Solanum lycopersicum: one gene and its partners. Each later gene encodes a partner of the first gene's protein in a complex. Links are inferred from orthologs where the notes say so. Each region holds a gene or a part of one and is shown in the gene's direction. Other genes may lie near its edges.

Region 1 (4,169 bases):
AGTTGGGTGGCGTTCATCCTGAATGGATGGCGGGACGTCATATGTAGCTATGCTCCTGTATTCATCATATTGCTTTGAAGTTAGCTTGTTGTTGTTGTCAATAGGAGTTAGTGCAAGTTTTGCATTTCCCAATCCAGTTTCAGCAATAAGTTCTAATGCATATTTTCTCTGATGCATCAGTATGCCTTTACTTGACCTTTCAAACCCAATCCCTAAGAAGAACTTGAGTTCACCTAGATCCTTCATTTTGAAGGTCTGGTTCAATTTGTCTTTAGTTTCTTCAATAAGCTGAACACTACTTCCTGTAATTAACATATCATCAACATATATAAGAACAAACACTGACCCTGTTGATGTTTGCTTGATGAAAAAGGAATGATCGTGTTCACTTTGCTTGAACAGAAACCTTAGTAATGCCTCAGACAATTTTGCATTCCACTGTCTGGTAGCTTGTTTCAATCCATAGAAGGAGACCCTCAAATCCTTGAGGTAGCTTCATGTAGATTTCGTCTCCCTGAAGAAATGCATTGAATACATCCATTTGATGTATCTGCCAGTATTGTTATGCAGCAATATCTGCCAGTATTGTTATGCAGCAATAGTTAAGACAGCAATAAATAAAGTTTTCATTTATATATACATGACAACATACTAGTACAAGTATACATAAGGCAACAAATACAAATATACATATCAACAAATTAATGAATGTCCTCTTTCAGTGATACAAGATACAAACACACATGACAACAAATCTGTACAATACATATGCAATTTGTCGTGAAATACAATATTGATACAAATGTATTACACTTGAACTAGATGCAACATTGATACAATTAGTATTCACTGATACAATTGTATTCACTGATAAATATACGTACTAGTTACACATGTACAATTATCACAACAGGTATATAAATACAATTCACCTCTCTCTCCTCTTTCGCTTGTCTCTCTCCCCCTATCCAAATCTTGCTCACCTCTCTCCTCCTTCTAGCAACTAGTTTTGGTACAGATTAATTATGTCAATTGTATACATGATACAATTATTAATCGGATATACAAATTGATTGTGCCTCCTTCCCACATCTCGCTCACCACTTTCTTCCTTCTCCCAATCTCACTTGTCCCTATTCTCTCTATAAAATGCATCCACGAATCATAATCAAGCAAACTATAGCTAAAAAAACCCCGATTTTGTTGTTAGTCTTTAGTTGTTTTTGAAATTTCCTCTTATAAAATTCCCCGGGGTTTTTCATGGGCCGGGTTTAATAGCAGACGAGGCACTCAATGGGCCGATATATCAGTTCCTTTATAGACGGCCCAGTTAAAACCTTTTCGGTAAAGCTGACAAGAGAACACGTGCCCTATCATGTGACCATCACGTGCATAGAAGATGATAAAAAAATAATACAAAAATAAACAGAATTTCAAGTGAATCAAAAAAATAAATCAATTTTGAGACTAATCACTCTGTAGAACTCGCGAATTTACGGCAAGGAAGGTATGTGACTGATGAACTTCTCTAATCTTTGCTTAGTAAATCTGATATTCATCTAATAGCTGATAATTGTTGAGTAAGTAGACAAATTCCTTATAGTTTCTTGATCCTGTAGTTTTTTTAATCGTTAAAATTGATCATTTCTTCGTTGTGTTTGATTTGTTTTACTAATTATTGAGATGGGTGTTGAAAAGTTTCATCTTTTAAGTGTTTGGGAGTTAAATTTTTCTGATTTGGATCAGGGGTTTTCTCAAATGATGCGAATCTTGAGTGGAAATGGTTTCCTTTTCTTTTCTTGGAATGATTGATTTTACGGTTTATTTGAATTAATTGTTGTAGTTGGGTGTGTTAATAGTACTGTAATGGATGAGAAGTCTTTAGTTTCCACTGTTTATAGCTGGGTATAAAAGTAACTAATATTTGGTGGATGTGAGGATAGTGTATTGGTGATAATTTTGAGTATTATGGAGTATGATTTGAGATATTTGTCAAGGAAGGACTGAATTGGTGGAAAATATCTTCAAACACATTTCCAAGAATCAAAGGTAATGCACAAGAAGAAATGGTTTCCCATATGTTGTGTTGTTGTATCTTCTTATCTCTTTCCCTTAGATAGTTATTGAAGTCGCACATTTGCTGTTAATTTTTTATCTATACTAGCTGCACATTCATGACTTGTTATATAACTTTTATGGGTAAGAATTGCTTTCGACTCCCATACCCAATCTACATAACTTATGAAAGCTGATCTCAGAAGCAATATAGTTTTACCTCCATGGAGCTTTTAGTATATGTGAACAATCACTTTTTAGCTGTAACTGTCGTGGGAAGCATCTGTACTCTCATATCCTTTAAACCTTATAGTTTCTTTCGGTTCTTCCGGTTTCAAAGAGGATATGTTTACCAGAGATTTATTTATTGCGTGTTCATCTGTGTTATAATGTGTCACGGCTCGTCCCTTAAAGCCATGAAGTGATGCGAACTAGGTGTATCACTTTATGCACTTCTGACGAGTGAGACTGGAAATCCCAATGAGAAGTAGTCAATTCTTTGAATCTTACTTTAAAATATGAGAAAATAGAAGAGGAAAATTGAGATTTGCTATTTGAATAGTAGGGTTCAGATCCATGTATGTTTCCACGTTCTCGTTATTGTTATTGTGCTCTTTTTTTCTTCTTCTCGAGTTTGTAAGGCCTATCCATCTTGTTTGTCATTTGTTAGTAATGTCTATCTATCCATTACTTATGCTCTTATAGTTCTTTGGTTTCTGTTCTTTCTTCTTCATTTTCTTCAAATAAATGACTCTTTTTCTTCTAGTATGCAAGTCCTTTATCTCTGATATCTTTTAATTCTGGGCTCTCTTTTGCCTATCTCCTCTATTATCATAGTACAATTACTAAAGTAACCAAATATGACATTGCATTCTGCAAATTAATTTACTTAATGGTTGATTAATTGTAAATGAGAATTTGTTTAACGATTGGAGTTATCTTTTGATGGGCTTGTAGAATTATATTTGAATGATTTTTCTGAGGAGTTGGATTAATATCATCATTACTGTATATTGGATGCTGATATCAGTAATAATAATTGCGATTTGATTGTTGTATGTACTAAAACCATCTGTTTTTACTTTTAGTATTTCTTTATTTTCGATAAACTGTGCACTTACTTCAAAGAAGCGTGTGTTTCACTTACTACCTTTTACCTCTGAGATTCCTGCACCTTCACATTTTTTTTCCTTAAAAATATTGGTATTGGTTTATTTTCAGGTTAAAAAACGGGTTAGACTAATGAATGCTGACACAGCGAATGGTGCAACTACTTCCACTGAAGGTGTTAACACCAATGAAGTGGAGGTAGAATCAAATACAGTAGACTCTCTAGAAGTTTTGTCATCCAGTGGTGGTAATGTCATGCATGAAGTAGGAAGAATCGGGGAGATTTTAACAAGGCTTGAACTAGACTTGGCGTGTATCTCTGAGAAACTAGTTAATTTGGATTTATTTGTGATGCATGTGGAAACAAGAGAAAGTGACTTTGAGGCTTTTGCCTCTGAGAAGGAGGGCACTTCAAATGACATTGTTGAGAAGGCAATAGAGTTTGATCTCTTATCTGGGGTCCTGGATTCAGAGGTGACAGAGCTAAGCGGTTTATTATCTTCTGTTGCAACGGAGATTGACAATGTGCGGAAGGTCATATCTTCACGTGGCTATGCGGATGAGGCTTTCATTTTGATAGAAGAGAAGTTATACGACAGTGAGAAATCCCTCAAGCAGTTGCAGGACCACCTATTGGAATTGAGGGCGCAATGTACCAACTTCCATGGAATTATGCTCACCTCCCAGGGGGACCGAGATTGTGAGTTTATTTTTATTTTATGTTAATTTTGAAGGGATGGTTTCTTTACAGCATCCTGCTATCATTAAAAAAAATTCTTTACATCCTGCGTAATGCTGAATAGCTTTTGGAGCTTCAGTTAAAGAAATCTTGGGTTATGCTGCTCAAAATCCAGTGTGGTCAGTCCATTCCAAAGCAATCAAAGATGGGCTTCGGCGGAACCAATGCAAAGTGAATAGATCAGTCGAACTAAGATTCTACTTAGATATTCATGCATCATGGGAGCACGTTTATTATCATATTTGCCGTCATTATTATCATTATT
Region 2 (4,102 bases), on another chromosome or scaffold:
ACAACCGTTATATTAAATTTACTCAATGTATGTGTTGGACATATTAAATTTTAATTGTATAAGAAAATATATAGATGAAATCATGAAAATGAGACGTTATTGTATTACGTGTAATTATAGTTATATTGCAAATTTTAACTTAATTTAATCTTGTTAGATGTTAGTTTATTAGCATTTTAATATTAATATTTAACATATTAAATTGCTCACTAACATCATATAATCTCGTGAATAGTTTAAATTTGCTAAAGCCTAAATGGCTTAAAATTATGATATTGTTTAAAGTAATATTATGATGAACATAATTTATTGCTTTCTATGTTTATGATAGATAAAAATCTAATAATAATAAGAGATATAAATTAATATAGTGAACAAAATTTGTTATATTCTCACTTTTAAATTCGACAATATAAACACGAAAAAGTTAAAAGAGTAGCACTTTAATTTTAGAAAATTTCAATTTGTGTAGAAATAGAAGTGTAGTAGGAAGTTTTGAAACTTTTTAGTTGGATAACCATTATTTTTTTCAAAATAAAAATTAAACCCCATATGACTAACTAATAATATACGTGTTTTTTTTTTTCAAATACAATTTTGTAATTTTATTTTTTGTAGCGTTGACACGTAGGTACTATAAAAATAATATTTTTAAAAAGTAAAATTACAATTATTTTTTTCAAAATAAAGATTAAAAGCCCTCGACTAACTACCAATAAACATGTCTTATTTTTTTTCAAAACAATGTTATAATTTTTATTTTAAAAAAATATTATTTTTTTGGCGCGCTATCACCTATATATATATATATATATATATATATATTGATGGATTGATAATTATGACTAACTATCAATACACGAGTTTTTTCAAATACAATTTATAACTTTTATTTTTAAAAAAATATTATTTTTTGTGGCGCTTACGCGAAAGCACTATCACCTTTCCTGTTATACATATAGATTATTTTATGAGTGATTTTTTGAATCTATAAATATAAATATTTCATACTTATAAAATACACCGTAATAGAAAAAGAATTATCTCCTTTATCTTCATGTCTTGCCATTTTCAATTTATAACTATATTGTTATGAGCTTAATTTTGTAATAATTATTCTCATTAAATAAAAAATATTTTGAAAAAGAAATCCAACAATTCTTTGATTTTGAATGATTTGTTTATTTTAAACTAAGAAAAAAAGTTATTATTCAAAATATATATATATTTTTTTTACATTAGGTTATCTCTCGAGTACAAGATAGTCGAATATAAAAACACTGTTCCCACACAACACACAGCACACATTGCTAACTTCATTTTCAGTTGAGATTTTCTTCACTTCCACTCTCTCCGGCGGCGCGTCGAACTCACACATTCTCTCTCGTTGTTTGCCGGTGAGTTACAACACACTCACTCCAACGGTAATTAGAAAAATCCCCAAAAGTAATTTTCTTTTTCTCTTGATTTTTAGGGTTTTCGCGGTTATGCTCTGTATGAGTCAACTTTTTTGGTCATGTGATTTCACAGATCTGTGCTGGATTTTAGTATTTTTTCTTGTTTAATGTGCTTTAGTTTTTGCTTTTATGTAGTTTTTTTATGTTTATTATTTTGGGGTTGGTAGAGTAGAGGTTGCAATTACTGGGAGGAGGACTACACTCTACAAACCCCCACTGTTAGGTATAAAGTTTTTATTTTTCTCGTGAAATTTCTTTGTTTGTAGGGGAAAAAGAAGGATTTTTGTTTTGTATTACAAGTTTCTGGTGTTTTTAGCGGCTCTGTAAATTGTATATATGTTGCTCTGTTCTGCTCATATGATTCCTTGGTAATGTGTGGTATTTTTTTTTGTATCCTAGAAAGTTTTTTTGTGTTATAGTGTGAAATGTGAATATACCTGGGAATGTACCATTTTTGGTTTTTGAGTTTTTTTTTACATTGTTGGATATGAATATGGTGCATTGCAAGGTGGTTATAAAATGAGAGAAAATTCAATCTCGTTTTTGATGATGGATGACTGTAGAAACTTTCCCGTTCTTTTAGACACCTGCTTGGTGTTTTGTGGCGAAAATATTGAGTTGTCAAACAATTATATCTGATTTCTATGACGAAGAATTTGAGCTCTTGAAATTTGATTCGCTTTATGTTAAGTTTTTCTTGTAGGTGTGCACGAATTGTTTCTTGCCTGGTACTTTGTTTTTTGGTTGTTATGTTTTTAACTGCCAGAGCTTAATCTTATAGTGGTTATATTTCTTGAAAGATAATCACTTTATTTTTCTATAGAAACTAAAGACACGATTCACTATATTCCTTTCACTCTAGGTTTTCTGCCAATGGATGCCACAACAGATAACTCTCAGCGCAGACCGTTTTCAATTAAACTGTGGCCTCCAAGTGAGAACACAAGAAAAATGCTGGTGGAAAGAATGACGAATAATCTTTCTAGTCCAACCATTTTCACCCGCAAGTACCGCAGTCTATCCAAGGAAGAGGCTGCCAAAAATGCTGAAGAAATTGAAGATGCAGCTTTTACCATTGCTAATCAACATTATGAGAAGGAGCCTGATGGTGATGGAAGTTCTGCTGTGCAACTTTATGCCAGGGAATGTAGCAAGCTTATCCTGGAAATTCTAAAAAAGACTCCCAAATCAGAGGACAAGGAAATTTCGATTTCTGAGGTAGTTCCTACTGTTCAGGAGACCTTTTTTGATATCTCAAAAGGTAAAAGGGCTTTTATTGAAGCGGAAGAGGCTCAAGAACTTTTAAAGCCATTAAAAGAGCCTGGAAACTCTTACAGCAAAATTTGTTTCAGCAATAGAAGCTTTGGTATAGATGCAGCACGTATTGCAGGCCCTATCTTGGCAACCTTGAAGGATCAGTTGAAGGAAGTTGATTTGTCAGATTTTGTTGCCGGAAGAAATGAGGCTGAAGCACTTGATGTCATGAATATATTCTCAGAAGCTCTAGAAGGTTCTAACTTGAAGTTTCTGAATCTCTCTGATAATGCTCTTGGTGAGAAGGGAGTTAGGGCATTTGGAAAGCTCCTTCAGTCTCAAACCAACTTGGAAGAATTATTTTTGATGAATGATGGGATTTCACAGGAAGCTGCAAATGCTGTTAGCGAGCTAGTTCCTTCCACCGAGAAGCTTAAAATTCTTCATTTTCATAATAATATGACTGGTGATGAAGGGGCTGTTGCGATTGCGGAAATTGTGAAGCGCTCTCCTTTATTGGAAGATTTCAGGTGCTCTTCTACCAGGGTAGGTTCTGAAGGAGGGAGTGCCTTGTGCGAAGCACTTGGGATGTGCTCCCATTTGAAGAAGCTTGATTTGCGAGACAATATGTTTGGTCCAGAAGTTGGTCTTGTGTTGAGCAAGGCACTCAGCCAACATGAAAATCTTAAGGAAATTTACCTGAGCTACCTTAATTTAGAGGATGAAGGAGCAATTGCAATAGCTAACGCTCTTAAAGATTCAGCCCCTTCACTTGCTGTCTTGGAGATGGCAGGTAATGATATAACTGCTGAAGCTGCTTCAGCAATAGCTTCTTGTATAGCTGCAAAGCAGCTTCTTGCCAAGTTAAGCTTGGGTGAGAATGAACTCAAGGATGAAGGTGTAATTCAGATTGCCAAGGCATTGGAAGGACACAAACATCTGACTGAAGTTGATATGAGCAGCAATGCACTAAGGAGGGCTGGGGCTAGGGTGCTGGCTCAAACTGTGCTGCAGAAAGATGAGTTTAAATTACTAAATGTTAATGGGAATTTCATCTCAGAAGAAGGCGTTGACGAGTTGAAAGAGATCTTCAAGAAATCTCCTGAAATGCTTGCATCCCTGGAAGATAATGACCCGGAAGGAGAAGACGAGGGTGACGAGGAGAAAGAATCTGGAGATGAGGACGTTGAGGATGAACTAGAATCAAAACTGAAAAACCTGGACGTCAAGCAAGAGGCAAGTGTTGACGCACACGCACCAGATAGCAATTAGAATCCAGTACTTGACGATTTTTCTGCATGTGGCAGTTTTAGTTTTACCATTTTCTTTATGCTAAGCTGGCCATATTATGTTCCTCCAGCAAGTGCTTCTAACATATAGTTCCATCAGTA
Region 3 (4,074 bases), on another chromosome or scaffold:
TAGTAGAATCGCAGGAGACAAAAAACTATCAATTTTTTCAAGAGCTACCAAGCATTACAAGGAAATATCTAAATATAGAAAAGGCGCATACACCAACTAGAAGGTGAAAACACACAAAATGAACATTCAATGGAAGCAGTGCAGGAACATAAAGGAAATAACATAAATAAACATCACGGAGATAGTCACGTAAACAGAATGCATATTTAAAAAACATCAGACACAAGAGGAAGCATAAAGCACAAATATTTCAAGATGAAGTATGCTTCTTAGAGGGAAGTAAAATTGAGCAAAACAAAGCTACAAATAGAGTTTCTAGCTATAAAAGAAACTTTAATATAAAGGGGGCTTGTTGGTCAAATTATTTGAGTTGGGAGTTAATGACACCAGGAATAAACGGAACATCAAGCGCACAATCGGAGTCAAATATGAGCAAAAACGAAGCCCACCTATGATCCCTTGGGACTACACCTCGATCTGAAAGGGAACGAGAATCAGTAGCTCATACACGAAAGAAAAAGAAGGATATAAGGACGAAAATCTTACATGTAAGCAAGGAGGGCGGTAGAACTTCAAAGGCATTCAAGGAGCTAGATGGAATGATACCACGTCAAAAATCACAAAGATTACTTGGTCAACCATGAAGGAGACAACTTAGAAACGGCGGAGAAAGGATGGAAATGGGGTAGGGTTTTAAGAAAGTCAAGTGAAAGGATAGTTGATGGAAGAGTTTTGGAAACTCTACATATTATTTCCTTTTGGACCCGGGTACTACTTTTTGGGCCAAGTCATTTGTTGTTTCATGTACTAATCGGGCATTAGCCTACACTAATAAGATGATCTTCTATCAAAAAATTAATTTTAAAAAACATTTTAGTGAATTATGATTATACAAAGTAATAAAAAATCTTAATCGAACATACCAAGAGGTTGCTAAGATATCGGAGATAACAATATTAGATTAAACCATCATAAGAATCAATAATAGATTCAAATACAAACATCTACTGCAATTTAAAATAATTCCCCAAAATATCAATAGGTAATGATGACCTTTTGTGGATATTTTCAGATTAATAAAAGAGATCATAAAACTCTAGATGAGGAATTCAACGGCTCAGGGGGAAAGAGAACCATGAATAGAAAAATCCCAAGTTGAACGATTGTTATAGAGTTTGAGAGCGAGAAAACAATTAAACAGATGAATATTTTTAAATATTAAAAAGAAATAGAATAGAAATGAGATTTAACGAGTGTAGTATAAAAAACTTTACACTATAGTGCACACAAGTTAATTCTCCTATTTCAAATAGTTAAAAGAATAATTTTGGCCCTTTTTGTGGCTTAAAAAAAGGGGCATTTTCCCTCCAAATCGAATTCCTCAAAAATTCACGACAGCAGCACACGACTATCATGATTGCACATAACTTGTATTTGAATTAGTTTTAATTATCTCTTTATCTTTACTCCAACTCCACGTCTCTCTCCCCTCTCTTTTCTAGGGTTTTTTGGATCTCTCTCTTATCCCACTTCGCCACTTCTAGGGTTTCTTCCAACCAGTAAGTTTCCTCTTACTCCTCTCTGTTTACATTCATTCATGAAGATTTTAGGTCTGATTTTGTTTTGTATTGTTCCATTTGTCTATTCCTTCAATTATGGTTGCATTTCCTTCTTTTTTTTCATCATTTGAATGATATTTTCTGCTTCGTTTTAACGAATACTGAGACTCACTTTTAAGTATTTGAATTAGAATATAGTTTATGTTTCAGTGTAGATTTTGATGGAGTTCAATGAGTTATGCCTCAAATCTTAGAATAGTTGATGTAGACAATGTGAATCATTTGTATCTGTTCTGCTCTATGTGTGCCAGTTTTTAGTTTTGTTTAGTATATTTAGAAATGGACATTGAAGGGAAATGCATTTTTTAATGATGGCCTTAAGGATGAAGGTGTTTGGTTGGATTTTGTTTGTACTAAAATGGAAGAAATGTGATATAGTGGGATTTGTGAACTCTTATTCATGGCTCTGCTGGTTACACTTATTCCTTAAGACCTTCAGTGGCAAGTATTATTGTTTTTGTTTTTCTGTAGTACTCTGTAGAAAACTTGAGAAGTCCCAGTGATTTGAAAGAGGCATGCTTAGTTCTTGATGGCTCCTTCTATCTAACAACGCCGGACAAATGAAATAGTACAAAATTTGTTTTGATTCCGTGATCGATCAATCTTCGTCTTCAAGAGGAAGGGAGTGAGGGAGAAGCAAAAGATGGAGTCTTTAGTCCTGTGGCTATCTGAAAATTTTCCCATTAATCAACACAAAATGCCAATAAATCTATTTCTTATTTTCTCTTGAATTCTATTTGAATTATTGCTTGATGCAAGGGAAAAACCAAATGCTATAAACTCAAAAACTTTGAGATATGAACTCAAAAACTTGCTCGAACCTTGACTAATTCCATGTGGTACCTTCTACCTTCACCAACACAATTACCAGTTAACTCTGTCAACCAAGGCTTAAACAAATAAGAAGAAATCACCTAGTGTTTTTGCTGCTGATGGAAAATGAACTCATGATCTCATGGTTCTCAACCCCTTTCCTTGACCACTGGGACACACCCTTGGGTGCCTCAAGCATAATGAGTTTTTGTGTGATATTTGCTCACAAACTTTAGAAATTACTTTGGGAAGTAAAAGAATAGTCATCTTGAATCATGGATAGTAGCTTATCATAAAAGTGCATTTTCTTTTTATTTGGAGATGAGATGGCAGCAAAAATGGAATAGTTCACCACCTTTTGTGAGCCTTTTGGCCCTCTACAAAAGGGAAACAATAATACTTCAATAGATTAATCGAGCTCTTAGCCTTCTAATGGTAAGTGCTTAGATTTGCTCAACTGACAAGATATAACGGTTAAAAGTCTGAAGTCAACTTCCTTTTTTGGATCAAATATATGATTTATCATTTAGTTAAATACATTGTATTTGGTGCACAGGGGAGATGTTTCGTTTGAGGAAGATATTACCTTATTGCACCAGTGTGATGCTTGTATGTAATTTTAACTCTTGTGTCTGTGTTTTGCAACTTATGACCATGACCTGAATGTCAATATGCACGATCCTTACTGTTATCATATGACTAATATCATTTTAGAAGTCTTGCATTTATTGGTCATTCTGCTAGTGCAGTGAGATAAAATAAATCTGCTGATCAAGTGACTGCAAACAAGATGCCATCTGTACTTATTTTATGTGCATTGCAGCACCTCAGCTGAAAAGCTTGGAAGGTGCTGAGAAAAGACAAGAAATTGGAACAATTTAATATTAACTGACGTCAAATGTCAGAACTCAGAACTGTTTGTTGCTACTTGCTTGTTGTGGGACAACTCATGTTTATTATCCTGAGGATATATACTTGTAAGAAACATTATTCAAATGATAGACTATGGAAGAAATCTTCCTTTTTCTTTGAAACTCAAAAGTAACAGTGCTGTGTGGAAAATAGCGAAGCTTGTTGCTGATAATGCTTGGTGGTTAATTGTTAGTCTTGTTTCCCATAGTACTTTCTTGTGGAAAGTACCACTAGGCAGGTGCGGATCCACATAGAGCTTCGGTGCTCGAGCACCCATGGACCCCTACGTGAAATGTATATAGGTATATAAAAAATACTATGCAACCTATATAATTAATTAGTAAGCACCCGTTAAATAACTGTTGGATGTGACTCGTTGGTTAGTAAGTGGGTGCTGAAGCTGTGGTACCGCAGGTCACGAGATTGATCCTCCACAAGTAATTTTTATATACTTATTAAGCTGTCTAATTTTCTATGTTTAGCATAAGATATTCACGAGTGTAAGAGATGTTATTATTACTCATTTTAATTTTAAAATGCGAAAAGTCGTCGAGTACATTATAATTTGACTCAGTCTTCTTTCCCGATAGTAATATTAAACATGACTTTTGCGTTAATGTTTTTCACTATTGTGTTTAAATAGTATTTGCACTTGTACTAAATGAACAGTAAAATTTAATGTTAAAAAAAGTGAAGCACCTACTAACTTCAGATCCTTGATCCGCCACTG

What was found. Proteins that work in one complex are often made in the same cells at the same time.
Region 2: WPP domain-interacting tail-anchored protein 1 (region 1) and RAN GTPase-activating protein 2 share a complex: the UniProt entries of both Arabidopsis thaliana proteins name them as parts of the ran complex. The link is inferred for Solanum lycopersicum from reciprocal best matches to the Arabidopsis thaliana genes WIT1 and RANGAP2.
Region 3: WPP domain-interacting tail-anchored protein 1 (region 1) and RAN GTPase-activating protein 1 share a complex: the UniProt entries of both Arabidopsis thaliana proteins name them as parts of the ran complex. The link is inferred for Solanum lycopersicum from reciprocal best matches to the Arabidopsis thaliana genes WIT1 and RANGAP1.

What each region holds. Positions count from the first base shown.
Region 1 is NC_090801.1:52,973,153-52,977,321, reverse strand, and holds the start of WPP domain-interacting tail-anchored protein 1, read left to right. Parts: upstream 1-1,369; 5' UTR 1,370-1,507; intron 1,508-3,276; 5' UTR 3,277-3,297; coding exon 3,298-3,865; intron 3,866-4,169. UniProt on the Arabidopsis thaliana protein: Together with WIT2, required for the nuclear envelope docking of RANGAP proteins in root tips.
Region 2 is NC_090800.1:74,925,740-74,929,841, forward strand, and holds the start of RAN GTPase-activating protein 2, read left to right. Parts: upstream 1-1,302; 5' UTR 1,303-1,397; exon of another isoform or gene 1,398-1,446; intron 1,447-2,319; 5' UTR 2,320-2,330; coding exon 2,331-3,983; 3' UTR 3,984-4,102. UniProt on the Arabidopsis thaliana protein: GTPase activator for the nuclear Ras-related regulatory protein Ran, converting it to the putatively inactive GDP-bound state.
Region 3 is NC_090808.1:59,911,046-59,915,119, reverse strand, and holds the start of RAN GTPase-activating protein 1, read left to right. Parts: upstream 1-1,274; 5' UTR 1,275-1,559; intron 1,560-4,074. UniProt on the Arabidopsis thaliana protein: GTPase activator for the nuclear Ras-related regulatory protein Ran, converting it to the putatively inactive GDP-bound state. Plays a role in spatial signaling during cell division.